Oryza sativa Japonica Group: one gene and its partners. The protein of the gene in region 1 interacts with the protein of each later gene in a pairwise test. Links are inferred from orthologs where the notes say so. Each region holds a gene or a part of one and is shown in the gene's direction. Other genes may lie near its edges.

Region 1 (4,873 bases):
TTGGTTGCAAGCATCCTTTTATGACAAATCTGTACTGTGCGGTAGGGTTATTTTCCATTCTTCCTACTCCTACGGTTTGTTCTTGACATTTTTTTTCACAAAGAAAAGGACGGAAGGAGTATAAAGCATGTCGCTTGTCCAAGCAAAAGAACAGTAGCCAGTGGCAAACAAAGCCCTGTTTAATTCACCCCAAACTTCCCCCAACTCCTAACTTTCTATCACATCACATCACATTTAAAACTTTCCTACACACACGTAAACTCCCAACTTTTTTTCCAAACTACCAACTTTCCCCAAACTTCTCCCCAATTTCAGAAACTAAATACAACCATAGTACCACTGGACAAACGAGTCCTGAGAATGAAAGTGATTGACTAAAAACTATTATGGCCGAGTTTAGTTTCAAAGTTTTCTTCAAACTTCCAACTTTTTCATCACATCAAAACTTTTCTACACACAAACTTTCAACTTTTCCGTCACATTGTTACAATTTCAACTAAGGCTGTGTTTAGTTCACACCAAAATTAGAAGTTTGGTTGAAATATGAACAATGTGATGGAAAAGTTGGAAGTTCGTGTGTAGGAAAGTTTTGATATGATGGAAAAGTCAAAAGTTTGAACAATTATTTTCGAACTAAACACGGAGTAAACTTCCAATTTTATCATGAACTAAACACACCCTATGTGTAAATGTCTCACTGTTAATGAGAAGTGAAAGATCTATAAATTTCTATCCGGCCTAGAAACAGTTGAAGTAATAACATCACTACCTTAACTAAAGATGTTGGGTTTTTTTTTAAAAAAAAACACATTATAAACGTACACCCACCTGTAAACATATACACTCACTTTGCATATTCGGTTATATTCCGACAATATAAATGGCAAAACTTGAAAGGTGCCATGCATAGGGAAAAAAACTGTCATGCTAAACAGGAAAATACATACTTGGTGTCAACTACTTCGTGGGTTATTATATTTTGACGAACGCATTAGTGTTAATTCACACTATAATATATTTGTTGAAATACTTTTCACTAAAAACACCCTAATCGCTGAAGCGGTAAAAAAAGATTAGATCTTATTTGGACTATAGGGCTCGTATAATATGTTTGATATGTCATTTTAAAGTTTAATTAATTAGATAATTACCTTCTAGTTTACAAATGTCTAGAACTTCAATAACATATCTGGTTCATATGATGTCACAATAAAATGCCAGTCCGAGTGATTTTCTTTCTAACCGTCGTCTAAGCCGTACATACGTAAAATACTCCATTTGTTTCTAAATATTTGACACCGTTGACTTTTTAGCACATATTTGACCGTTTGTCTTTTTCAAAAACTTTTGTGAAATATGTAAAACTATATGTATACATATAAGTATATTTAACAATAAATCAAATGATAGAAAAAGAATTAATAATTACTTAAATTTTTTAAATAATACTAATGGTTAAACGTATTTAAAAAAATCGATGGCGTCAAATATTTAGAAACGGAGGGAGTATATATAAGTTAGACTCATGATAATCCAACTCTATACGTTAATATTGCAATTTTAAAAGGTAAAATATACTTTTTATGCAGGACTAATTGACTGTATTGAAAGATAGTTGATGCATTTACGTAGTAGTACAGTAACGTTTTATAGAATTCACATTCGTTTAATTAAAACCCACCGTTTATTAATTAGAAAATGTATTAATAAATGGCCGAAACCTGATATTTTTGGCAGGCAGGAGCGCATTTCGCAGTATTACCCTCGGGTTTTCTTCTGGATCCGGAAACAGCCTCCGGCTCGCAAGTCTTAAATGCGCACGGACGTCGCTTCCCACCCTCACCCCACCCTTCCCCGCCCATTACAAAACCCCAGCCACCGAGAGCTCTCCCGCTCCACTCGCCGCACACCACCACCCTCACCCCTCCCCCCATCCGCGTGATCTCCCGAGCAGCTAGAGCGCGCGCCCGCGGCGCCTGTACTGCGAGACCGCTTCGCTCGCTTCCGGTCGGTGAAGAGGCGGTCGGTCGCAGCTGAAGTAGTTGTTGCAGAGATGATGATGATGAGCGGTCGCCCGAGCGGCGGCGCCGGCGGAGGTCGGTACCCGTTCACGGCGTCGCAGTGGCAGGAGCTGGAGCACCAGGCGCTCATCTACAAGTACATGGCGTCCGGGACTCCCATCCCCTCCGACCTCATCCTCCCCCTCCGCCGCAGCTTCCTCCTCGACTCCGCCCTCGCCACCTCCCCTTCCCTCGCCTTCCCTCCCCAACCTTCACGTACGTTACACACATCCTCCTCCACGTACGTACGTACGCGTTGTTGCCGATGCTAACAAAGTCCATATTGTGATTGGTGTTTTCTTTGGAATGCAGTGGGGTGGGGTTGCTTTGGCATGGGGTTTGGGCGGAAGGCGGAGGACCCGGAGCCAGGGCGATGCCGGCGTACGGACGGCAAGAAGTGGCGGTGCTCCAAGGAGGCGTACCCGGACTCCAAGTACTGCGAGAAGCACATGCACCGTGGCAAGAACCGTTCAAGAAAGCCTGTGGAAATGTCCTTGGCCACGCCGCCGCCGCCGTCCTCCTCCGCCACCTCCGCCGCGTCGAACACCTCCGCCGGCGTCGCCCCCACCACCACCACCACCTCCTCCCCGGCGCCCTCCTACAGCCGCCCGGCGCCGCACGACGCGGCGCCGTACCAGGCGCTCTACGGCGGGCCCTACGCCGCGGCCACCGCGCGCACCCCCGCCGCCGCGGCGTACCACGCGCAGGTGAGCCCGTTCCACCTCCAGCTCGACACCACCCACCCGCACCCGCCGCCGTCCTACTACTCCATGGACCACAAGGAGTACGCGTACGGGCACGCCACCAAGGAGGTGCACGGCGAGCACGCCTTCTTCTCCGATGGCACCGAGAGGGAGCACCACCACGCCGCCGCCGGGCACGGCCAGTGGCAGTTCAAGCAGCTCGGCATGGAGCCCAAGCAGAGCACCACGCCTCTCTTCCCGGGCGCCGGCTACGGCCACACCGCGGCGTCGCCGTACGCCATTGATCTTTCAAAAGAGGACGACGATGAGAAAGAGAGGCGGCAACAGCAGCAGCAGCAGCAGCAGCAGCACTGCTTCCTCCTGGGCGCCGACCTCCGTCTGGAGAAGCCGGCGGGCCACGACCACGCGGCGGCGGCGCAGAAACCTCTCCGCCACTTCTTCGACGAGTGGCCGCATGAGAAGAACAGCAAGGGCTCCTGGATGGGGCTCGAAGGCGAGACGCAGCTGTCCATGTCCATCCCCATGGCCGCCAACGACCTCCCGATCACCACCACCTCCCGCTACCACAATGGTGCGTAGAGTACTAACCTTCGTCTCCACTGATCAGAACCGTTTCTTGATTCTTATGGCGAGCCGTGCTGACGATGATCCAACTTGCTTCCTGTTTGGTCTTGTGCAATCTGCAGATGATTAATCTCTTGAAGAAGCCAAGAAGTGATCAACACGCGGAAGAAATCAACAGCTTCTTTCACGGCGTGCGAGCTGCATGCTGATGCTCCAGGATCGATCGATCGATCATTGCATCTCCAAACTAATCACGCTTCGATCTTTCAGGACTTCATCAATGACAGGCCGAAACCTCCTACGAGTTCTCTGATGATATTCTTATTTTTTTCCCACTTCTTTTCGTTGAGCTTTTTGTAATGTTGCTTCGAGTGTTACTCCTACATTTTCTCCGAAATGGCCTCAGAATGATGCGGTCGGGCTGATTAATTAGGTTAGACTCTTCCTGAACCAACTAGGAATAGATTTTCTGCCTGGTTCCTGTCAGTCCTTGTAATATCTGCAGCAGCTTGTGAGACAAGCGTGTTCGCTTTTGTGAACGCCCTTTTTCTTCTTTCCGATTCCTCTGCCTGTGATAGTACTCGCTCCGAAAAAAAAAAAAAAAGCAAACCGTGGATTCTTGGGTCAACGTGTCCGTTTTATATTGTCCGTTTTATATGAAATTTTTTTATAATTAAAATTTCTATTGTTGTTAGATGATAAAACATGATTAATATGTGACTTATTTTTTTTATATATTTTTTTTAAATAAGACGGACGGTCGACACGGTTTTTTTTTTTTTTAAGAAGGAGGGAGTAAGTCACATCTCTGGATTCTGCTGAAAAGCTCACTAGCGCCATCCTGCTTCAGAGAATACTTTATGCTTTCTGACAAGTCGGTGTAGGAGTAGTAGTATTGCTAGGTGTACTCCACTCCCCTCCTTAAGTACATTACCAGTGCAACGTAAAACAGCTTTGCTCCTGAGCAACGGAAATGCTTAATACCGTACTCTTGCACTTCGTCAGTTGGTTGAGTACACTGTGCAAGTACCAAATTGGTCTTCTTAAGTGTTACTACTAGGTTGATCACTTGTTGAACCGTTTAGGCTGTCGATCATTAGCATTCAGGGTTATCACTGCAAAGTCCCAAACAAAAAGATTCTCCCAGGGTCTATTCTCCCCTGAACCGTTTTCCCATTGACCGGCCAATGCTGCAAGAAGCTGGATGCAGAGCTAGGAGTAGCTGCAGTGCCCCCACTCCTGCACCTTCCTGCAGACACTCAGAGAGAGGGAGAGATGGAGGACTGTGATGACTGACCAGCACCCCTGCTTTGGTCTCCATGGATTCAATGCCAACTGCACTGCAATTGCTGCCGGCCCCCTGAGACAATGTCAGGCGCTGTCAGCTCTCGCGTCCATGCGATTGAATGATCCATTGCTGGCGTTTGGACCGTCGCCTCTCCTCCCCTGCCTCGCACACAGTCTGCAGCGCATGCATGCATCCATCATGTACAGTGCAGCATTGGACACAAGCCTCTCCTCCTTGCAGCTGCAGCCTTCAAAGCC
Region 2 (5,057 bases), on another chromosome or scaffold:
ATTATCGAAAATGCTATGCATACAATTGTTATGTACGATTCTCGTACGATTGCTGACGAATGGTGAGCGTTACTTAGTTGCATCGCTAGAAAATGACTGGACAACATGATTGGCTTCCGTTGAAAACATTACATCGTACGAGCTCCGTAGGCAAAATATCGTACATATGGTAGCTCTCAATCAACTATACATGTTAACTCTTAGATTCATTTATAGCTAATAGTTACTCCCTCCGGGTTGATAATACTTGTCGTTTTGGACAAGGACACGGTCTTCAAAAAGTAGCTTTGACAACTATTTTCTATTATAATATATATATAGAAATATCAACAAATATATAATTTTATTGAAATACTTTTTAAAACTAATCTACGCATCTGGTTTTTATATTTTCAAGACAAATATAGCCCAGGTAGAGTAGCTGTATTGTTACATAATCTGTATACCATTCTTTGAAGTGAGACAACCAAGAAGAAAAGAAGAGGCAAAGGTGAAGGGGGAAAACGTGTCTCACCTTCTACGCCTTCACATGGATTTCAGGTACTTTCTTCCAAGAGTTGCTGCAGCGCGCCATGCTAGTTGCCAGCCACTCTCCAACAGCGGCAGCCATCACAACGGTAACAGTGCACTCGATGAAACGACAGATTTGCCCCTCCCATCACTCTCACTCACAAAAGTTTGCTTCCATTGGAGAGCAAATGTTGGCACTCTCCATTCTGCAGCCATATGCTAACGAAAGAGAATATATCATGCTCTCTACTAGCATTGGTAGTAAATTTTTATGGAACATATATTTTCTCTAAATGTTTTAAATGGAAAAAAAAATTACAGTATGTCCACATGAATACGAGGGAAGTTCCTTTACAAAGATTAAGGTTCCATTGAAAAAAAAGGGTGAATATTGTATCAATATTCGGTTGTCATCCACTAATTTCACGTAGTTGCCAACAATAGTATGCTCAAAATTGAATATCATACCCCTTCAGTTTTTAAATGTACTACATGATTGGCTTTAGACATGATGTTTAATCACTAATTCGTCTTATTAAAAGTTATTATTTATTTTGTTGTAACTTATTTTATCATTTGAGATACTTTAACCATGACTCAATTTTTTTTATATTTTACACTTGATTAGTTAAATAAGACGAATAATAAAATATCAGGCCTAAAAGTCAGCAATGTCCTATTTTAAAACAAAGGAAGTATTCCATTTGAAAAGTGAGAAAAATTCTAATTTCTACACAAAATGAATTATATTTTTGTTCTTGCATGTGAAAATCCTTTATAACATAGAAGAACCTTCAGGGATGGTGATGAATGAATGGGTCCATAAATCTCCTCATCAGTGTTTAAATCTTAGTGTCCATAAATATTATGTACGTATAGGTGCCTCTTTAAATAAAAAATCAATGAGATCAAAGATTTACCATATTTTCTCTATTTTATCAGAAAATGTGTGAAGGGATGGAAGTACGTGCCTAAACCGTGTAAGTGACCTATTTTTCTGATTAAGATACATATATTCTATCTCGATTTTCGTTAGCACATTTTTCACACGAATAGACTATGTGTTCTGCGCGAAAACTTTCTATATATTAAAATATGCGATAAATTCAATTTTCAAATTAAAATAATTAAAACTGAATTAATCATGCTCTTTTCTTTTGGTTTTTAGTGCCGTACCTATTTTTTCGAGTAAACTCAAACCATACCTATGTGGCCGTTACTACTATATCCATCCCAATATAAGTACAATTATGATTTTTCGTGTCTAATATTTGACTGTCTTTTTTATTTGAAAACTTTATGAAAGAATTAAAAAAACTAGTCACACATAAAGTATTATTCATATCTTATCATATGATAAGACTAGAAATACTAATCATAATATTTATTTTAGATAATATGAACAATCAAACGTTAGAGACGAAAATACACAACTGCAGACGGAGGTGGGAGAGAAACGATTCTCATTGTCCACCAACAAGGGTAGATTCGTAATCTTCCCTCCTCCTCGCTCTCAGGTAATTTTCTTTCTGAACACAAACCAAACCAAGCTGAAACGACTGGAGAAACCTCGAAAAGCACAAAGCACCCACCAAATCCACCCTCGACCAAGAAACTGAGGCAAGAAGAAGAAGAAGAAGAAGCCGCCGCGGCGAGATGCAGCAGCAGATGGCCATGCCGGCGGGGGCCGCCGCCGCCGCGGTGCCGCCGGCGGCCGGCATCACCACCGAGCAGATCCAAAAGGTTCGTTTCGCTTCCCTCACCCTCTCTCTCTCTCTCTCTCTCTCTCTCTCTATCTCGCTAGGGTTTCTGGAAAAGATGGCTCCTTTGGCGATTGCTTCGGCCAAAGATCAGATCTTTTTCGTGCCCGGGTGGACAAGTATTGAGCCTTTTTGTTCTTGTCTTGCCTTTAATCAAATGGGGGGATTAATCACTGAGGCGTAAATAAGAACGCATTTTTGCAGAGAGTGGAGACGCTTGTGCATGGGGGATTAGAGGTTTAAACAGCTTAAGAGAAGTCGAAATAGGCATGAAAATGTGATAGGAGTAAGGGGTGTGGTCTCCAGTTGAACCAAATTTTGAATCTATAGCCACCAGTCTCCAAATTTGGTAATACTGTAATATTGCGAAAAGCATGATACGGTTGAAATGATAAGCATGCATTAATGCATGAGGATGATAGGAATTTAGTAGTCCACAAGTTCGGTTTTCCCCTTTTTTTGGGGTTCTTGAATACGGCTTTCTGCTTTCATTGCCCCTTTTCTTGTTAGTAGTTTTGTTCTTTTTTGTGCTCTGTAACCACTGATGTGGTCTATTTTGCCCTTCTGTGTAGCTTCAATTTACCTTATGCCCTACTTATATGCTAATTTCTCTCTTATATGCTTAATAATTGGCACAGCTCCTGCCACTGTTATAAGAAAATGTTCATGCATGTTATTATACCTGATCAATATTGATGATAACATGTCAACATAAAAGAACTCTGCCTGCAAAATTTTATGCTACACACCTTTTGGCCCCTTACATTTCAGTTACAACAGAATCACACATCTGAATTATGTCAGCTCTCTGATCATGTAGTTGTGGTTGCATCAAGTTTGATACGAAAGAAATCAACCTTTTCTCAATCATTGGTCCACTATTGATCACAATAGCATTGACATCAGAAACCTAATATCGAATGGCTAGCATTAACTTAAGCTTGGGTTTTTCAAGAAATAAACCATGTTGCCATTGTAGAATGAAACTGCATATACAATTCTTACAGAGAGACGATAAATGAATTATTTTAAGATTACACATAGATTAGCATTATAGCGTGGTCATCAACATCATTAACTTCAGATACTTATTCAATTTCTCTTTTGCAGTATTTGGATGAAAATAAACAGCTAATTTTGGCCATCCTGGAAAATCAAAACCTAGGGAAGTTGGCTGAATGTGCTCAGTAAGTTGCTTGCTAAACATCTTTGAAAGGCTTTATTGCTGGATTACTATATGAAATGCTTCTAGGTGGCTGCCATATCTTGACCATTTTGTTTCATGTAAATGACCTAAAATTGGAAATCTGCAATTGTTGACGGCTTGGAAGATGTTTTCAGAACTACATTTGAAGTCATTTGATCTTATTCTGTTAAAATCATGCACTAAGGATTGCACACAAGTGCCAAGTTTTGATAGTTGTGTCTTCTGAAGTTTACTTTACCATTTGGAGGATCTAAATGACAGTGGTCAATAAGTTTTGGCATCTGAAATTTACTTTACCATTTGGAGGATCTAAATGACAGTGGCCAATATGTTTTGGCATCTGAAGTTTAGTTGACTTGCATGAAGTATATGCTTATTCACTGTCTTCCCTACTGAGGACCTATAATATGGAGAATAAAATCTTGTTTCTGTGCCTGATTTGATCATCTGGAACACCTTGCTTAATTACTCTATTGGTCTATCCAGTGTATGATATCGTATATATCTGTTGGCCTGTGCTATGCAATGGAAAGTTAGATTTTCAGCTGAATGCCTTATTAATTGTTGCAATGGATGAGGAGTTTGATCTTCTATCCAAGTGCTACTATGAAGTCCTATAAGGGATCTATCATTGCTTTATTGATGGATCTTTCCTATCTACATGCATTCAGTGGAGTTTGGGCCTACGTGTAACATGATGCCATGAAGATATAAGTTTTTGTGGGCAGATAGTTGTTTTAAATTTAATGTTCTTGGAAGTGTAACAATCATTTTCGTTTTACACCTTCTAGTGAAGGAACTCCTGCTTAGCTCCCATCTTTTTTGTCTGAATAGTAACTACCCCAAGGCATGAAAATCATCCTAGTGATACCAGCATGTAGTATTCTACTACTGTTGGATCTTTCACTTCACAACAGAAAATTCTTTTGAAGTTTGGGGGAAAAAACAAGATTAGTTTAACAGTTGAGCATCTGCATTACTCATTCCATCTTGATTTTGCCATGCTAGTTTCATCTGTCAAGGAAGAAGGTTGCAAGATTTCTAATCTTCTTTGATGCACCAAACTTGTCTAGTTGTCTTAATTGAATTATTCGTAATGTGATCTGCCTATTTGGATGCAGCCTTCTAAATGATCTTGTAACAATGCTTATCTTTCATGCTCTCATATTTTAGGTACCAAGCTCAGCTTCAAAAGAATCTCTTGTATCTGGCTGCCATTGCAGATGCCCAACCACCTCAGAATCCAGGAAGTCGCCCTCAGGTTAGTTATGTTCCACATGTCAGCATAACACCGCCTCAATCTCTCCTTACTGTTAAGTTCACTCAAATAACTATTTCTCCGAATAGATGATGCAGCCTGGTGCTACCCCAGGTGCTGGGCATTACATGTCCCAAGTACCGATGTTCCCTCCAAGAACTCCCTTAACCCCACAACAGATGCAAGAGCAGCAGCAGCAGCAACTCCAGCAACAGCAAGCTCAGGCTCTAGCCTTCCCCGGCCAGATGCTAATGAGACCAGGTACTGTCAATGGCATGCAATCTATCCCAGTTGCTGACCCTGCTCGCGCAGCCGATCTTCA
Region 3 (5,088 bases), on another chromosome or scaffold:
TTGAATATATAGGCACTAATTTATGCCGAATATGTTCAATCGCACTTTTAGAAATGAGGATTATCACGGAATATGTTATTTCGGTAACTTTGTGTTAATAAAGACATTACTACTTAACCATGATTGAGATATAAAAATTAAGCATCTATAAAATTCATAGTATCACACCTATATTCTGTTCTCAACCCCAATTTTTTTATCATGATCATTAATATTACACACTCCTTCTAAATAAATAAATTCAAGATTTTCACATGACTTAGTTTATATTTCAAACAAATCCTCTAAAACTGAAAATGTTTCCCACGATAAATCTATTAGTATCAGTGAATCATCTTGTCCGATGGTTTGTTTAGAGAGATCAAATTAGTGGATAATATCTCTGCAATCTAAAACAGTAGCATCAATTGCATAAAAATCATAGATAAGTAGCATCAGTAGCCTTAAAAAAGCAACTAATACGATGAAACATATAAAACTGCTTGTTAATTAAAACATTGCTATGCAACCGTGATTGAAATATACAAATTAAGCATCCATAAAATTCATGCTAAAGACTTACCGCATCTTTAATCTTCTTAGTTTCTTTTGGCCCTAGTTTTTTTTAATCTAGATACAACAAAAAAAAACAACAATTATAATGAAACGAATACAATCACATTTTAATAAAAATATCGCTATGTAACATGACTAAAATATACAACTTAAGCATCCATACAATTTATTCTAAAAATGTACCACATCTATATTCTTCTTGACTACTTTCAACCCTAACATTTTATCCTGATACAACCTTAAGAAAGCAACAATCACGATGAAACGGATAAAACCACATGTTAATAAAAAATTACTACGTAACCGTCGTTGAACTATACAGATTAAGCATCCATAAATTTCATGCTAAAGACGTACCACATTTCTATTCCTCCTGACTATTTTCAGCCCCAACTTTTTATCCTGATACAACCTTAAGAAAGAAACAATCATGATGAAACAGATAAAACCACATGTTAATATAAATATTACTATGTAACCGTTGTTGAAATATACCAACTAAGCATCTATAAAATTCATGCTAAAGATGTACTACATCTCTATTCTTCTTTATTTATTCCGGCCCAACTTTTTATCCTGATACAATCTTAAGAAAGCAACAATTACGATGAAACGGACAAAATCACGTGTTAACAAAAATATTTCTACGTAACCGTCATTGAAATATACAAATTAAGCATTTATAAAAATCATGCTAAAGACGTACCGTATAGTTGTTTCTTTCTGTCCCAACCTTTTATCGTAATACAACCTAAAGAAAGCAACAATCACGATGAAACGGATAAAAACATAAAACCATATGTTAATAAAAATATTTCTACTTAACAGTCATTGAAATATACAAATGAAGCATTCATAAAATTCATGCTAAAGATGTACAACATCTCTATTCTTCTTGACTTATTCTAGCCCGAGCTTTTTATCCCGATACAACCTTAAGAAAGCAACAATTACGATGAAACCGATAAAAACCGTACGATGATAAAAAATATTTCTATATAACCGCCATTTGAACATACAAATTAAGCATCAACAAAATTCATGCCAAAGACGTACCACATCTCCATTCGTCATCCATACCCAATTCTTTATCCTAATCAATACCACCAAAGACTCCTTCTAAACTAAGAAACTCAAGATTTTCACCTTGGTTCATCTCTCATGCAAATCCTCTAAAATTCCTCCTATAAAACATCCCAGTTCATGAAAGAAAACCCTTCAAAAATATCATACTGAGCACAGTTATTAGCTGGAGGAGTCAGCACAGTTATCGGTAAAACCACTTCCCCATCTGTCCAAACTCCAAAGCCGGCCTCACCGGCAGCAGCCACACCACACCACACCACAACACCCCGCAGCCTTGCTGCCTCCCCTCCCTGACCGGTCAAAAGCACACCACCACCATCCCCCCGCAAAGCCAAGCACCAACGCTCAGCAGCAGCAGCCGCCTCCCTCCCCAGCTCAGCTCAGCTCCCCCCCGCATGGAGGCGCCGCCGGGGCCGGAGCCCATGGAGCTGGACGCGCCACCGCCCCCCGCCGCCGTGGCGGCGGCGGCGGCGACCGCCGGCATCAGCGAGAAGGTAACCCGTGGGGAGGGGGGTGTCCAGATCTGGGGTGTCGGGGTGGATCTGGGCTGGGGCTCGGTGCCGATCTGCTGGTTTCGGTGGTCGTTGGGCTAATGCTGGTTTTCTCTCCGGTGTCTCGCGGCGCCTTTTTTTTTTTTTTTTTTTTTTTTTTGGTTGGAGGTGCTGCAGAAGAAGGAGGAGGGCGGGGGCGACGCCGTGACGGGTCACATCATCTCCACCACCATCGGCGGCAAGAACGGCGAGCCGAAGCGGGTGAGCTTTTTTCGGGGTCTTTTTGGTTTCTGTTCTTCTTTGTGTACAGTGGAATGTGCTAGTTTTGGCGCCCTTCGCTTGCTTCCTTGCTCGTAACAATCACTTGGTTCGCTAAGGATTTGTGCTCTCTTAAGCCGTTTCTAAGCTGTTGGTAGTGTTCGGCTGATCAAGTTAGCTATCTATGTGCTGATTCGTCGGGGAATCGCAATTTTGTGGGTTTGGGGCTGACTAGATACAGTTGTCGTTTTGATTTGTAAACAATTTAGCATTTGACTGATAAAATTACGTAGTGTATTCCTCAATTAAATGTTTGGTTATTCAATTACTTGAGGATAATGTACATTTTAGGAAGCATGATTTTCTTTTTCTGTCCGCTATTTCATAGTCTATCCTGTTGTTTCTAGGGGGTAATAAATGCTTCACTTCTAATTTTAGTTAGTCATGATAAGCTGGAACTCTGATGCACAACATAGAATCCGTCAATCTTGAGATATTGTGCGCGATTTCTCATGCGATTTTTTTCTTACCTTAACTGCAGACAATTAGTTATATGGCGGAGCGAGTTGTAGGAACTGGTTCTTTCGGGATTGTGTTCCAGGTACGATGCTTGGTCTTATGGAAATGCATGCTTACCGTGTATTGTACATTTTTTGATATGTTTGAATCAAACTGATTTAGTTTTCACATTTAGGCTAAGTGCTTGGAGACGGGGGAAACGGTGGCCATCAAGAAGGTGTTGCAGGACCGGCGTTACAAGAACCGTGAACTGCAGCTTATGCGCGCAATGGAACACCCCAATGTCATCTGCCTGAAGCACTGCTTCTTCTCAACCACAAGCAGGGATGAGCTGTTCCTGAATCTTGTTATGGAGTACGTCCCTGAGACACTCTACCGTGTGCTCAAGCACTACAGCAATGCTAACCAGCGGATGCCATTGATCTATGTGAAGCTTTACATCTATCAGGTTTGTCAGCCACCATGTTAACACCTCTCTGATTGCCACTATGCTTCTCATTGCTTCTCTAAAGATACTTTTGCTATGCTTGCAGCTTTTCAGAGGGTTAGCTTATATTCATACTGTTCCAGGAGTCTGCCACAGGGATGTGAAACCACAAAATGTTTTGGTATGACTTATGTGAACAAGGCTACATTACTTCTCTTGCTTGGTTGTTTGTTTTGAACTGGTCTCTAATTGCTTGCTGATACAGGTTGATCCTCTCACTCATCAAGTCAAGCTATGTGACTTTGGAAGTGCAAAGGTTCTGGTATGTTGATTTCCACCCTTAAGAGTAATTTCTCAGTGGTTTGATGTATGCTGAAATTATTCTAGTGGTAGGCTAGTCATAATGTTGACAGCATAAGTGGTTTATTTCGTCATGTTGCTTTTACGTGTAGATATGCTGCTTTTGCCTTTCATGATTGATTTGTGATAGAAGTTAAAATTTGCACTGTGCTGGGATAGACTTTTTTAGATAGCTCAATAGTTAATAAAAGAAATTGCCTATCATGATCAATATTTCCAAATTGGTTTTATCATGTGCTGTTATTATGTCGAAGGATTGTTAAGTTTATTAAGTTGGATGCAAAGTTGCTGAGCTAGGACTATAATGATGAATTCCTGAGCTTGGATTATAACTGTTGGCCTCTCTTCCCTAGTTCTGTTATTTCTTCATTTTGCTATTTTAACAAATAGATTGATGATCTCCTTGTACTATTCCACCAGGTTCCTGGTGAACCGAACATATCATACATTTGCTCTCGCTATTATCGTGCTCCTGAGCTCATATTTGGTGCAACCGAGTATACAACTTCAATTGACATATGGTCAGCTGGATGCGTTCTTGCAGAGTTACTTCTTGGTCAGGTTAGTCACTATATCTTTATCTAAGGAACTGCAACATTCAGGTTCCTTGATTAGATTATGCTGTGATGTTATTCTGATTATATTTCATAATGTGTATTTGTCAGCCACTGTTTCCTGGAGAGAGTGCTGTTGACCAGCTAGTAGAGATAATCAAGGTATTGCATGATGTTGTGCAAGCTACATTTTTTTTTTTGCCACGGGTATTTCTTGTGTTAACTTGATATTATGGCAGGTTCTTGGTACTCCAACCCGTGAGGAAATACGATGCATGAACCCCAACTATACTGAGTTCAAATTTCCTCAGATTAAGGCTCATCCTTGGCACAAGGTAGCCATGTTTTCTTATATTGGATCACCTTCCTCATACCATTTTACTTGCAGGGCATTGTAGGCCACTTCAAAACCAGTTTCTGCATCATGTTTAATTTGAAATAAAAAAAATGTATCTGCAGCTGCTTAACTGATCCATCTGTTGTTCTTTCGCTTACCACCAGATTTTCCACAAGAGAATGCCTCCAGAAGCCATAGACCTTGCTTCCCGTCTTCTCCAATATTCACCAAGTCTACGCTGCACTGCTGTGAGTTTTCTTTCGTTTGCTTAGTTTTATATTATCTATAAATCTATTGTTTTCGCTAAGCGCTAGGATAATGATTATTTACATGGATTTGCTTATTTTAGCATTTCATTTCAAGTGTTGTTAGCTGTTACAGTCAAATATTCATAGACCGTGTGTCAAGAACAATAAACGAAATGTTTCTGTTGAGGTCCCTTATGGAAGTAGATTGATGGATCCCTGGTCCTGCATGGTCATTGTAATTATAATATCCAGT
Region 4 (5,019 bases), on another chromosome or scaffold:
TAAGCTACTACCCTTACTCTATTTTTTTAATGGTTGACAACTTTTTTCCACTTGAAAATATGTGACATAATAAACTTTGAGGTCTGAGATTGAATTTACTAGCAACAATTTTTTAATCTAAGGTCGAATTTATTATCCTCCTCTTACCTCCTCTTATCAAATATAGGTTACATATTGCTTGAGAGCTTTATATCTATGTCTAACGATGTAACTTACAAAGCTATCTAAGTGTGCTATTGTGTAACCCGCAATTGTAATCGGTGAACTTTATGTCCATATTTTCCTAAAAGATAATGAGTGACTACTATGTTGTAACTTGCACTCTTGAAGTTTGAAAAATTCAATTAACCTTGTATGTAAACCTCTGCGATGTTTAGAAAAAAGAAGAGACTACACCAACTAGTGACATAATTGATAGCCGTGTTAAAACAACATGATGATGTGTCCATAGACTCTAAAGATCATGCAAATCCCAAATGCAAACTAGAGTGCTATCCTTAACAACGGTAGAAATGATTTATATAGAAGTGAATACAAGATTATATAACTTTCATCATTAACAAAATTTGCCTTAACATAATGGTTATGGCTCTTGGTCAAGGACAAACCAGGATACAAATATTCCGTTTGAACCACCATCCAATTATGTTTGGATCATCAACTATAGTCACTCCAATAGGTCCATCATCTTTTCGCTAGGTGAGACTTATCCAAGCAATCTATTCAACTAGAGAAGCACTATAAGAAAAGACTATTACTATCTAGAACTCACATGTAACAAATTTAAAAATCATCATGCCATAACCAAACCTCATGTTTTTAGTGCACCAAACAACACTCAAGCGCTCATGGAATCAACATGGATTATTTAACCAAAAGTCGACCCCAAGATTTGCCAGAACCGAGGTGAGTGAAATATTAGGAGTGTTGGGTACAAATCAATTGACCATATTGCTAATATAGCTGGTTAGTTCGGAAAAAAGATGCTATGTCTTGGCAACGATAGCGCTGGATATTAATATATTTTTCTATAAAGTTGGTCAAAACTAGAAATTTTTTTTTGACTCAGAACATAACTAAAACACCTAAGAATTACAATATGTAACAGAACGGAGATAGTATTGGATTGAAATTAGAACTCAATAACAACATATTGAGATGAAAGCAAACACGTTCTTTTTCAATTTTTCCTACTCCAACTTTAGAGCAAGAGAGTAAAAGCACTAAATACATTGCATTGAAGTCATAAATGCACGCCTTCGCACACTAGAACTACAATTAACACACATGTACGTTTTCAATACGAATTAACGAAAATATTGCCCAATACAAATTTAACGAGGACACATATGATTTATTGCTCACTTCCGTCTACTTGTGTGCTAGAGGTTTGCACGCGTAATTAATCAATCAATAATATACCCTCTTCGTCCTTAAAAAAAACTTAATCCTAGCAACGAATCTAGACACAGATTCGTTGTTAGGATTGGATTCCTTTCGAGACGGAGTAGTAGTAATTATTAAAATCTTTTGAGCAAGAGGGGTATACTAGTAATTGCACCTAATCCTAGGAGGAGATGAAAAGGGAAAGCCTTCAAACCCCTCTCCTTCCAGATCCATTCGCGAGATTACTAGGGAGCGAATGTTCGCTCCATTGCTGTTCCCAAACCCTCCAAAGTCCAAACCCCTCTCCTCCTCCTCTCCAACGCCATAAACCACAGAGAGGGGGAGAAGAAGTGGAAGCGTGAGCCGCCGCAGCCGCACGCGATGCAGCAGCAGCCGATGCCGATGCCCGCGCAGGCGCCGCCGACGGCCGGAATCACCACCGAGCAGATCCAAAAGGTGCCTCCTTTGGGCCCACCCCCCCCCCCCCCCCCCCCTTTTCTCTTCCGGTTCTTGGCCCCGGTTCGGGTGCGCCGCCCTCGCTTCTTGGGAGGGTTTTTTTGGGGGGCAAAAGATTTGATCTCTTTTTTTATTTTTGCCCGGCCTCCTCGAATGGTGCTAGGTTTGCCAGCGTTCGATTCGATTAGGGGTGGGTTAGGGTCTTAGGGATATTGGATTGGTAAAGATTCTGGCTTTTTTGATTAGTTTCAACTTAGTTGATGTGATTTGAAGAGTATTTGACGGGCATTGGTTGAAGTTGGTGTTGTGAGCACCGCATGGTTGGCGTGCTCGTCATCTGACTCGATAAAGAACGACTCGTTTGGGTTATCCGGGCGGTAGAGTGATCTGTAATTATATGGTGATGATGTTGGTTTGATAGGAGATATGCTGACTTGTTCTCGGTTTATTGGAGAAGATGTATCATTTGTGATAAAAAAAAACTAAGTTATGAACACCTGGAGTACAACTTTTGACTAGATTGGGCTTGAATCTTTGCTTGTGTAGCTTATGTTTATTGATTGCAATATTTCTACTCGACATGGAACTATCCATCATCCATGACCACTCCAGCCGGAACTGAACTTATGTTTTTTTATGTGTTCTTTAGTATTCACATCATGACAGTCATCAGTCATTGTCTATAAAGTATTATTCTATGCCTGAAACATTTTCCTGCATTAATATCAACTTGGCACTTGTATGGAACCATTTCTTTGTCTTAGTGCGATTGTCCTGTTCTTTTGTAGAGTATGCTATTCTATAGCAGATTTTAGTTATGTTTCTGTTCGTGGATGACTGGGTTTATTGGGATTTGTTGAAGTACAGGTATACTCCAGTCCTTGTGGGCTTTAGATGTAGTTTAAAACTTACAACGGAGAAAAAAAAGTTATGTTAACTGACTTTCAACAATATCAACTTTCACTTAAATTCTTAAAGAAAAAACTCATCGCTTTGTTAGTTGATTTCTGTCTCGTTTGTTAATTTTCCAATCTTTCAGGCGTTGCTCTTTTCTTTTGGAGCTAATAGCTGTGATCACCTAGCAGTTCATGTCTTCATGTCTAAATGGCAGATTTGTATTGTGTGCTCCCACTAGATTCAGACATGCATGCTTTTTTCTTCTTAAGGCTGGTGATGCATATTCTGCTTAAATTGGGTCATGGTTTGCTCTCTTGTACTAGAATAAGCTAAAAATAGCGCACTAATGTCTCTCTGCTAAGATGAATAAAATAGCAGCTTGGGGCCGTTTTTTGAACCACTTTACTTTGCAATCCATATTATTAGGGTGCTCATGCTTATACAGGTCATATTCTGGCATACATTTTCACTTTGCATACTTGTCTGAATGATATTTTCCTTATTATACTTGGATTAATGCCCTGCACCTACTAGCATTGTAACTTGACTTTCAGATGACTAAATAATCTCTTGTGCTGACTTTAATCCTTATGTTTCCTGCAAACTGCATAAATTGTAATAGTGCATTTCTAAAATTACTATCTTGTTCCTTATATATTTCACATGGTTCGCCCATTTGCATTTACTGATTCTGTGGTTTCATTGTTGTAAATAACCATTTTCCCTTACAGTCTTAATTCATTTTTGCAGTATCTGGATGAAAACAAGCAGCTTATTTTGGCTATTTTGGAAAATCAGAATCTGGGAAAGTTGGCAGAATGTGCTCAGTATGTAAACGGTCTTTTATGAGATTTTACGTTATGACATGATCCTTTTTGTGTGTTAATATTAATTCATCCTGCTTAGTAGTCTCGTAATTGCATTGTTGAATAATTTCTCGTTAACATTAATATCTTCCTTTTTTGTTATCTACACTCAGTCCCTCACCATTAGTTAATTGTATACAATTATTCATTTATTGTGCTGCCGTATATAACAATGAAATTGCCACTCTGCTGTTGTTATTTCAAATTTGTGTTTATGCATTGAATAAACAAGCAACTGAAAACTGCTGCGATATCCAATGATATTTTGGCCTGGTTTCTTTCTCAGCCGTTAGGTTTAATATTTAGAAGATCTATGTAGCTCTTGTCACTGATGAAAGCATACCATGCTTGGATGGTTCAACACAGAATAAACAGTATTGCTAAACAGCAAAACATGGATCATTCAAGTATGGCTTTTTGTGCAGTACGAGTTATAAACTGCAGCTGAGTTCTTGTTTTGTACCATCTTGAGGCTTGAGCCACTATACAAAATTAATCCTAGAAGGGTCCTGGCATTGTGGCATATGCAAAGTTCATATGAACACTCTATGAACTGTAGACAGCAAATATGATAACATCTGTTTTTTAAATGATAATGTTTGATTAAATTTCTATTTTCAAACTTTTAGATGATATGTTAAATTGTTAATTATCTGACTATAATACTGTTTTTTGGTATCTAATTATATAAGTCAGGGTTTTTTTATGATAATTTTACTTAGATTTACATAGAGTATAGACCTTCATCTCCTGACTCTTCGGGACGTGTACTGGTGTGGATTTTGACACAATCCATGCACTACGGTGAACGAAGTATTACAGTGCTATACACTGAACACATATTGGCATACAATTTCGAATATAAACTGGTTGGTTCTCACATGACTAGTTTATGTAGCGTTGCCTATAGTGGTTCTTTATATTCAATGCAATAAAAGCATGTATTCGAAGACCGTGTATCTTTCAAAGAATATGCAAGATGTATCATCATTAGCAACTATATGTACATCCTCACTCTTCAGCCAATATATTCCATGTTTGATTTGCATCTTGTGTCTTCTGCTGCCCAAAGGATCAATTGCTTTTTTTTTGGGTGCAAACGAAGCAAATTACCAGCATGCTAAATACCTAGGAATTTCCACTTGCAATGGCTGAGTGTCAAGCTGGCAAGCATCATGTTAAAATTTATGAAATCTTATTTCATCTGGTGTCACTTGATATCTCCATAACCAACTGGGAAGTGGGAGGGAACTATCATGTTATGCCGTGATGATAAAGCCCGAATCACCCTTCATAATCCGTCGGAATAAAATTCAAGTTAAAGCAACATTCTGAAATAGCTCTAACTGTTAGTTCTATGTGGCAGATGATTATTCTCCTTGGTAAACATCAATGGAAAACAACACATTTGATC
Region 5 (3,531 bases), on another chromosome or scaffold:
CGCGGTAGGCACTATACGGAGTAAAGGTGCCGTGGCGGCCGTGCGAGGCGGTTTATTTGAATGCTGTGCGGCGACAGTACGGGTACAAGGCTTGAAAAAAGCGGTGCTAACATTGATTAGGCCAGGCGTCCTGTGAATCTGGGTTATTAGTTCGGTGAAGCCGTAATGTTTGCTCTGCACGTTCCATTCGTTAAATCTTTTGCTTTTTTTTTGGCATGATTAAATCTTTCAGTTGTCTGTGCAATTTATAACTGTCTACTAGCACCGCAACATTATCTTCATTTGAAAAGGCGAGGGTAAAATAAAATGCTGCACTGACAGGGAGCATCACAAAGAAATGCATGGAATAATAAAGAGGCCGGCCGGCCGGCCGGCCGGGCTGGAGCAGTACTACCGGTCTAGCCGGTCCATCCAAAACAGCATGGGCATGGCTACCCTATACAGTACACACGCACGCACTGTGCCAACGCCTTTGGCCTTTCATCAATGGTACGCCTCTTCCCAAGGCAGGGGTCGTCGCCGCTCGCTGCGCTGCACCATCAGCGCTCGACAGGTCCTCCCGCTGTCCCACCCAGCAGAAGGCAGTCAAGCCTCGCGCGTTCCCAAGGCCCCCCCCTTCTCTCCCTTCCCTTCCTCCCGCTGCTGCTGCTCCTGCCGCGGCAGCCTAGCTAGCTGCGGCCATGCCATGCCCGTCTCTTCCCCAAAGTATTTTTTCCCACATTCAATTCCCCACGAGATTTGGACGGGTCGAGCCGATCCATCGTCGGGTAGGCGCGAGATAGCTACTGCTGCCCGCGGCGCTGCGAATCTACTCCGGACGAGGAGTAATTTGGAGCGTGACAAGCGGCTGGCTACCCACCCACCGAACGGCGTGCGCGCGGACAACGCCGTGCCGGATAGGCCACCCACCCACCGGGGCGCGCCGCGGCGACTGCTACTGTTGAGCGGCGCCGCGCCGCACGCGTCGGCAAACCGCGGTGCTGCCTGCCTGCCTGCCCCCCGCGCCACGACACGGCTCCTGGACCTCCTCGCCCACGTGAACCCGACCCCGGGGGCCGAATCGTGCCACGGCACGTCGCCCCCCCTACGCCGAAACGCCAACCCCACACGTTACCTCCGCCGCGGTTGCTTTCCTTCTTCCCTTCCTTCCATCCGCCTGCTGCCGCTGGCACGTCGGGACGTAGGAGGAGTACTAGTAAACGTACGTACGCACTCGTCACGGGCCCGGTCACGTCCCCTGGGCCGTACTGTATCTCGCTTTCACCCTTGGTAGGCTAGTCCGCCGCGTCAACACGACGTAACGGACAGGGGAGAGGTATGGAGGAGGTGGAGGGCCCGTGCGGTCAGTGTGCAGGGGGGGTAGGGCGTGCAGGACGGATAGGGCGTTGGGGGTGGTGGTAGGGCTGGCGTCACGGCGATTAGACCATTCGGGGCGTCAAATCGCGCGGCGGCTGGGGCTTGATGGCCGAGGCCGAGACGGACACCGCGCCGCGCTGGTCAGCGACAGCCTCAAACCCCCCAAAACGCAGCAGGCCCCAGAGCGGCAGACACCTACTCCTACTAGTACTAGTACTACCACCATCTCCCCATTTCACGAGGCGCGCGCAAACGCAAAGCCGACGCGAGAGCGAGCGGCCACCGCGCGCTAGTAGTAGTAGCGAGCCACTATAGATTTGGCTCCCGTATAAAGGGTCGCTGAGACTTGCTTGTCGCTGGCAGTGGCAGCTGCCGATCCGTCCGTCAAGGCACAGCGCAAGCACAGGCTCTCGCTCGTGGAGGCGAATGGAGCTGGACATGGGAGCGGGAGGAGGCGGTGGAGTAGTGGGAGGTGGGCGAGCGGAGGCGCACTACCGCGGGGTGAGGAAGCGGCCGTGGGGCCGGTACGCGGCGGAGATCCGGGACCCGTGGAAGAAGACGCGGGTGTGGCTCGGCACCTACGACACGCCCGTCGAGGCCGCGCTCGCCTACGACCGCGCCGCCGTCGCGCTCCGCGGCGTCAAGGCGCGGACCAACTTCGGCAGCGGCAGCAGCGGTGGTGGTGGCGTCGGCGGGCACGGCCATGGCCACAGCCACGCCCAGCTGCCGCAGCTTCACCACCGCATGCACCCGCCGCGGCCGCCGCAGGGCCCTGGTCACTTCGGCGGGCTCGACATCAGCCACCCTTCGCCGTGGCACTATGTCTACTTCCCGGCGAGGGTGCAGGCGATGGCGCCGGCGGCGGCTGGCCATGTCGCGGCGCACGTCGCCGCGTCGCTGCCGTCGACGACGCTGGAGCTCCGGACGGGGCCGAGCGCCGGCGAGCTCCCGTTCGACCTCAACGAGCCGCCGCCGGCGCTGCTGTTCGGCTCGTGATCTCGACACGTACGTGAGTAGAGCATCACTGGGTAGTACTAGGACCAAGGATCAAGCTTAGAGATCACTAGTAGATAGGGGTAACCGATTAATGTGGGAGTGGAGAGCACTGGTCCGGCTGTGTACATACGTACTACTATTTAAGGAAAGTTTAGCGTTCTCACATTGCCCCTGTTCTTGTTTCCATTTTAAGAACTTTTTAGCGTACAGCTTTTCATCTCTTCTGTAGTATAAGACGGTTTTCTCACTCGAGGTTAGTACTATTACTGACCTGAGAACTTGCATGGTGATGGTGGTTGTGGGGCGAGTGAGCGGTTGGTTCGGAACATTTGGTTGGTCAAAAGCTAGTACTACAAAATTTTAATTCATGTAAAATACTAGTACTGGTATTATAAGAAAGATTTCAGTTATACATATTGATCAGTAAATCAAATATACTTAACGCTCTAAACTACTAGTGCTATCAATGCAAGCCCCGTTAGTGAAAATTAACAGTATCAATGGGGTTTCAAAAAATTAACAGTATCAATTGATATCAATGCAGCCTTAATTTACTTAACTGTTTAAACTCTAAACTAGGGTTTGTAAAAAGACATTCAACTCGAGATGAATGGCACACCCGGCGTCCCGAGCTCCCGGCCTCACTGACTTGACCATCTGCTTAAAAGTCCCATCACAAAATGGCTCGCGAGTCCACCCTGTCTCGATTGTCGTTTCCTGTAGTATTACTAGTACACACGTTCGATTATGCTTCTGTAGTTATGCGCACAGCTTATTAACTACTCCATGTGTCCTTAGATTTTAAATTAGATATTGTAAAATAACTTATGATAAAAAATCTATAAAATCAACTCTAAAATAAAGTTTTAAATTTTATAATTTTATTTATAAACAAAAACATAAAACAAACAATGCGTCCGCTACAGACTGTGCCCAACATTTGATCCATTTAGATAACTATGGTTTTAATCACCTATCAACAGACGTGGCTAATGTCTCCTTGCCAGGAAACCAAAGTCGAATCTTACCGATAATAAAGTGACAAGTTGCCCGTCCAACTTGCTTACAGGGGAAAATTCATAGGCCTTTTCATCTATATGAAAAACATAAGAAATTCAATGGATCTCAATACTATGAAAATTATATTTGTTTTATTTTTTCCGTTTTCTCAAATCCTGC
Region 6 (4,799 bases), on another chromosome or scaffold:
TGAGGCCCAACAAATATCGAGCCTTCATTGGTACTACCCTCTCCCTCGTATTTCGTGTGCACGCTTTTCAAATTGCTAAACGGTGTTTTTTTTTTTAAAAAAAGTTTCTATACGAAAGTTACTTAAAAAATCATATTATTGATCTATTTTTGAAAAAAACAAATATTTAATAATTCACGCACTAATGAACCGCTCCGTTTTCCGTGTATACTGTGTGGGTTGGTATCACGTACTTCCGAACACAGCCTAACACAGCTGCCATCCATGTCCTGGCTACTGAGCAAGAGTTGCCTCAGCCCTGTTGAAACTTGAAAGGCAACCATGCTCTCTTCAAAGCAATGAAAAAGTCTCATGGGGACATGGATGTAGCCGAGCTACAGGCAAAGCTTCGACATGGCGAGTCCGAGCTAAGCTACTCATCACTTCAAAGTAATGTGAATGCTTTAACAGTTTTGCTCCGTTTGAAAATGCAGTTGTCTCTATGAAATTAAGTCTAATGGTTAAATATAACTTTTAGGGGTGTTTTGCTTCTGCACCTTACCTTTTTTTTTCAGTGCCAAAATATTAGCCAATTTTGGCCCTACTACTTTTGCGGTAGGGTATAAGTTATATTGACCATGATTAGCTTATTAATGTAAAGTTAAAGTAATTGTTAATCCTTATCCTGGTCAAGTAACTGCAACAAGATAAAAATGAAATCGATGTGGCCCAATTTATACGATCTTAAAGAATGTAACTCCAGTTTATCTCTGGAGATTTTCTCTCTCAAAAAAAAGTTTATCTCTGGAGAGAGCCAGCGAGGAAAAAAATTGATGAATTGCAGGCAAGACTCTATAAGGAGGATCCATTTCGCGATAACTTTGGGTGTTTACCACCATCAACAACTCTGATTAGAATGGAATTAACGTTCTTCTTTTCTTTTTCCCAGTTGTATTTTGTATTTCCATGTGTCGTATGGAGGCTACATATATAGCACATCTGTACAAACAAGCCACGCCGTCTCCTGTTGGAATTCTTCTCTGTACTCGTGACCGACGAGTTCTTCGACACAGAATCTGCTGTTGTTTTAGTACTCCAAAAATCTATCCTGCCCACAAGCTCATCAGATCATGCAGTCCCTGAACTTGAAAATTGCCGTGTTGACAACCATTGTTAAACCCTGAACATGACATATCAACCCAGACATAAATACTCTTCGAGCGTGCAGCCATAATTTTGTTTTATTTTTTTTTGACAACCTGCCTATACGAATCAGGCTTTATTAATTTTATCTTTTTTCCCCTATGTGTGGTGGTGGTCCCAATTCTTTAATGTGCAGGTGTCCAAGTATAGAAAGTTACTGAGCTTTTATGGTAGGTGTGGTAAAAAGTTGCATGGTAAAAACGATCCACTAAATTAAACTTTGTCACCAAAACTGAAGAAAAAAAAACTGAAGAGAAAATCTCTGCAACTGGTTCACCCTCTTTTTAAAGAACTCCACTCCAAAACCAACGAGCAAAGCGAAAGGAGGAGACGGCCAACCAAAACCCTCCTCCTCTCATCATCGCCCAAAACCCCCCAAGAAACCAGAAAGAAACCTCTCCTGCTCCTCTCTCTCTCTTTTCACCGGCAGAGGGAGAGGAAGTGGAGAGACAGAGAGGAAGAAGCAGAGGGAAGAAAAGAAAAGGAAGGAGTTTGCTGCAGCTGTGAGGAGTAGAGGAGGGGGGAAGGGTATAAAGGTTTTTGATTGGAATGCAGCAGCAACACCTGATGCAGATGAACCAGGGCATGATGGGGGGATATGCTTCCCCTACCACCGTCACCACTGATCTCATTCAGCAGGTCATGATCCCCTCTCCCCAAAATCTCTCCCATTTTATCGTCTGTTTGTCTCTCTCTTGTTTTTCATTTCTTGCTTTTTGTTTTTGGTTCCGTGATCTCTCTTCTTTCCTTTCTTTTTTTTTCTCTTGAATCATTTGTATCAAACTCTTTTTTTCTTCGTTCTTGATTCGTTGGTTGGTCTGTGAGTATCTGAAAAAGAAGTTTTATCTTTTCTTGTGTTCCCCTTTTCTATTTCATTATGCGTTTATGCTCATGCTATCTTTCTTGTTTGCTCGTGGTTGTTGATCCTCTTTTGTATCCATTGAAACATCTGGCAAAAAAAAATCTGAAATGAACTAAAGTTTCCCTTCTTTTTTTTTTCTCTGTTCTTACATCTTGTTCATCTGATCTATTTCGCTTTCTCCGTTAATTCCCAACATGATTTGTCGAACAACACGTTTTTTCCATCATATTTAAAAAATAGTTCTAGGGCAGCCTTTTTTTTCTTTATTTTGTTTGGTCAAATAGAAAGGGCATGATCCTCTTATATTCATGATGTTGATTTATCTTCTCGTCCTCTAGTCTTCTCCCTGTATTCTCATGTCTTCAAACATGGTCCCTCACATCTGATTTCCTCTGCAGTTCAAACTGTTGCTGTCCATTTGGTCCTTTTTTTTTCTTTTCTTTTGCTCTTGCTGCTCACATAGTCACATGATGCGGTGATTTTTTACATATCCTTTATCCCCCTCTCCATCTAAATCCTATTTTTAGCTTGTTTTGGTTGGTGACTTGTGCCAATGGTCGTGTCTCCCCCACCACTCGTATTTGGCAACTAGTAAACATGCCAGACCTGTTCCCTGCATCTGCCATTGCAGACCACCAATAAATCTTGGCCCCCTTTCCATGTAAATGTATCATGTGCAATCGTCCAACAAAAGGGAGCAAGAAATGCTGTGAGATTTACATAAATATCTCCTTTCCATATCCGAAATCCAATTTGCAATCTTTGATTTAAAAAATATTTCTTTTTTCTTCAGAAGGACATACCATACAAGATCTGGTCCTTGTTCATGTTGGTGAGAAACTGGGAATGTAGGTTGGCTTGTGCTGTACTAGAATGCCACAGGTTGCAGTTTTGACTGTTAGACCCCTAAAAGATGTGAGCTTTATGGCTAAAGGCCGATATAACAACCAGGGGCCCGGTCTGCTTGGCCTATTCTTTGATAACCTGCTTGCATGCTATCGTGCCAGTTCATGATTGGTCCTCAGTTTGAGATGATAGGCTGGCAATCAGATCTTGTGTGGTTCTGCTCTAGAATCAGGACGCCAATCTCCAGTCTAGTACTTCATTGGTGCTAGGAGTATATTCATGCATATGTCATTGGTGATAAACTGATAGTACCAACCAAATCTTGTGCAATGAACTGCAATATATTCAAGGCATGCATGCAGTACTATCTTTTGTTAGTATTGATGATAAAGACTTTGAAATGTAATGACGTATTAACATGCAAAGATTCAACCTTGAAACTGTGCAGTATCTGGATGAGAACAAGCAGCTGATCCTGGCCATCCTTGACAACCAGAACAATGGGAAGGTGGAAGAGTGCGCTCGGTGAGTTTGATCTTGATCTCCCTGTTATCATGGAGTGCTGTGAAAACTCTGAAGTTGCTGTTCTTTCTGTAGCTTTTGCTCTATCAGAGATGTCTTGTTTGGTAATATAGTCTTTAGGCTTTGTTAACTGCAAAAGGAATGTCTAGCTTTTGTTCAGTCAGGGTTCAAGAAACTAGAATCTACTAGGAGTATTCTGGATAAATCAACTAATCAAGTAGTACAATGTTCTTTGGTGAAATATTCCATTAGGTGTTACAGGTGATTCCACAATGATGGTTGAATTAGTGTTAACTCATGGGCAGGTTAATACTATACCTAGCACCCTCCTGTTAAATAAATTATTAGTGAGTGGCTTGTACTAGAAAAGTACTGTTCCTTGTTCAGTGCACTATTTCTGTTGTGTGTATTGTCAATGTCACAGAACAGTTTGCTGCCATCCTCCACAGTATCTTTTCCAGCCACCGCACAGAAGCAAACTCGATCCAAAGCCTCCTCATTTTTCAATCATCATCATGTCACGTAGTAGTAGTAATACGAGTTGCATGCATGTTCATGTGCATACGCTCTCCTGTTGTTCACTGCTGCTGCTATCTTTCTTGGATTGTACCGGGAAGGGAACACATCAGTTTGGAGCTTTGCATCGACTGAGCAATCCACCCACGTTTTCGCTTGCGGCGCGGCGTTTTGCATTTGCCCTACAGGCAGCTCACAAGCTGACCATCCTCGCGTGTCTGTCGCTGCAGGAACCAAGCTAAGCTCCAGCACAATCTCATGTACCTCGCCGCCATCGCCGACAGCCAGCCGCCGCAGACGGCCGCCATGTCCCAGGTAATTGTGCTGCTGGCGATGATCAGTGAGTCGTGTTTGTTGGTGTTTGATTTGAGGATGAGTGAAGTCATCAATGGCGGCTGCATTGTGCATGGATGCAGTATCCGTCGAACCTGATGATGCAGTCCGGGGCGAGGTACATGCCGCAGCAGTCGGCGCAGATGATGGCGCCGCAGTCGCTGATGGCGGCGAGGTCTTCGATGATGTACGCGCAGCCGGCGCTGTCGCCGCTCCAGCAGCAGCAGCAGCAGCAGGCGGCGGCGGCGCACGGGCAGCTGGGCATGGGCTCGGGGGGCACCACCAGCGGGTTCAGCATCCTCCACGGCGAGGCCAGCATGGGCGGCGGCGGCGGCGGCGGTGGCGCCGGTAACAGCATGATGAACGCCGGCGTGTTCTCCGACTTCGGACGCGGCGGCGGCGGCGGCGGCAAGGAGGGGTCCACCTCGCTGTCCGTCGACGTCCGGGGCGCCAACTCCGGCGCCCAGAGCGGCGACGGGGAGTACCTCAAGGGCACCGAGGAGGAAGGCAGCTAGGTGGTTTAACTTAGCTATAGCTA

Evidence for each region.
Region 2: the proteins of growth-regulating factor 1 (region 1) and GRF1-interacting factor 2 interact in binary tests that used the Arabidopsis thaliana proteins (3 or more experiments, as listed by UniProt). The link is inferred for Oryza sativa Japonica Group from reciprocal best matches to the Arabidopsis thaliana genes GRF5 and GIF2.
Region 3: the proteins of growth-regulating factor 1 (region 1) and shaggy-related protein kinase GSK1-like interact in binary tests that used the Arabidopsis thaliana proteins (3 or more experiments, as listed by UniProt). The link is inferred for Oryza sativa Japonica Group from reciprocal best matches to the Arabidopsis thaliana genes GRF5 and BIN2.
Region 4: the proteins of growth-regulating factor 1 (region 1) and GRF1-interacting factor 3 interact in binary tests that used the Arabidopsis thaliana proteins (3 or more experiments, as listed by UniProt). The link is inferred for Oryza sativa Japonica Group from reciprocal best matches to the Arabidopsis thaliana genes GRF5 and GIF3.
Region 5: the proteins of growth-regulating factor 1 (region 1) and ethylene-responsive transcription factor 12 interact in binary tests that used the Arabidopsis thaliana proteins (3 or more experiments, as listed by UniProt). The link is inferred for Oryza sativa Japonica Group from reciprocal best matches to the Arabidopsis thaliana genes GRF5 and ERF12.
Region 6: the proteins of growth-regulating factor 1 (region 1) and GRF1-interacting factor 1 interact in binary tests that used the Arabidopsis thaliana proteins (3 or more experiments, as listed by UniProt). The link is inferred for Oryza sativa Japonica Group from reciprocal best matches to the Arabidopsis thaliana genes GRF5 and AN3.

Annotation. Positions count from the first base shown.
Region 1 is NC_089036.1:33,334,775-33,339,647, reverse strand, and holds growth-regulating factor 1, read left to right. Parts: upstream 1-1,855; 5' UTR 1,856-2,053; coding exon 2,054-2,276; intron 2,277-2,372; coding exon 2,373-3,335; intron 3,336-3,450; coding exon 3,451-3,458; 3' UTR 3,459-3,956; downstream 3,957-4,873. UniProt on the Arabidopsis thaliana protein: Transcription activator that plays a role in the regulation of cell expansion in leaf and cotyledons tissues.
Region 2 is NC_089045.1:25,865,636-25,870,692, reverse strand, and holds the start of GRF1-interacting factor 2, read left to right. Parts: upstream 1-2,062; 5' UTR 2,063-2,166; coding exon 2,167-2,253; intron 2,254-3,380; coding exon 3,381-3,457; intron 3,458-4,650; coding exon 4,651-4,738; intron 4,739-4,824; coding exon 4,825-5,057. UniProt on the Arabidopsis thaliana protein: Transcription coactivator that plays a role in the regulation of cell expansion in leaf and cotyledons tissues.
Region 3 is NC_089035.1:5,784,843-5,789,930, reverse strand, and holds the start of shaggy-related protein kinase GSK1-like, read left to right. Parts: upstream 1-1,933; 5' UTR 1,934-2,036; coding exon 2,037-2,135; intron 2,136-2,309; coding exon 2,310-2,393; intron 2,394-2,931; coding exon 2,932-2,991; intron 2,992-3,084; coding exon 3,085-3,357; intron 3,358-3,442; coding exon 3,443-3,517; intron 3,518-3,601; coding exon 3,602-3,658; intron 3,659-4,116; coding exon 4,117-4,257; intron 4,258-4,361; coding exon 4,362-4,412; intron 4,413-4,489; coding exon 4,490-4,585; intron 4,586-4,751; coding exon 4,752-4,835; intron 4,836-5,088. UniProt on the Arabidopsis thaliana protein: Negative regulator in brassinosteroid signal transduction pathway important for plant growth. May be also involved in auxin signaling pathway. Phosphorylates and increases the degradation of BZR1 and BZR2/BES1 by the proteasome.
Region 4 is NC_089046.1:19,344,605-19,349,623, reverse strand, and holds the start of GRF1-interacting factor 3, read left to right. Parts: upstream 1-1,612; 5' UTR 1,613-1,767; coding exon 1,768-1,842; intron 1,843-3,489; coding exon 3,490-3,566; intron 3,567-5,019. UniProt on the Arabidopsis thaliana protein: Transcription coactivator that plays a role in the regulation of cell expansion in leaf and cotyledons tissues.
Region 5 is NC_089039.1:24,541,967-24,545,497, reverse strand, and holds ethylene-responsive transcription factor 12, read left to right. Parts: upstream 1-1,714; 5' UTR 1,715-1,782; coding exon 1,783-2,352; 3' UTR 2,353-2,571; downstream 2,572-3,531.
Region 6 is NC_089037.1:30,927,844-30,932,642, reverse strand, and holds the start of GRF1-interacting factor 1, read left to right. Parts: upstream 1-1,496; 5' UTR 1,497-1,731; coding exon 1,732-1,821; intron 1,822-3,338; coding exon 3,339-3,415; intron 3,416-4,158; coding exon 4,159-4,243; intron 4,244-4,344; coding exon 4,345-4,776; 3' UTR 4,777-4,799. UniProt on the Arabidopsis thaliana protein: Transcription coactivator that plays a role in the regulation of cell expansion in leaf and cotyledons tissues.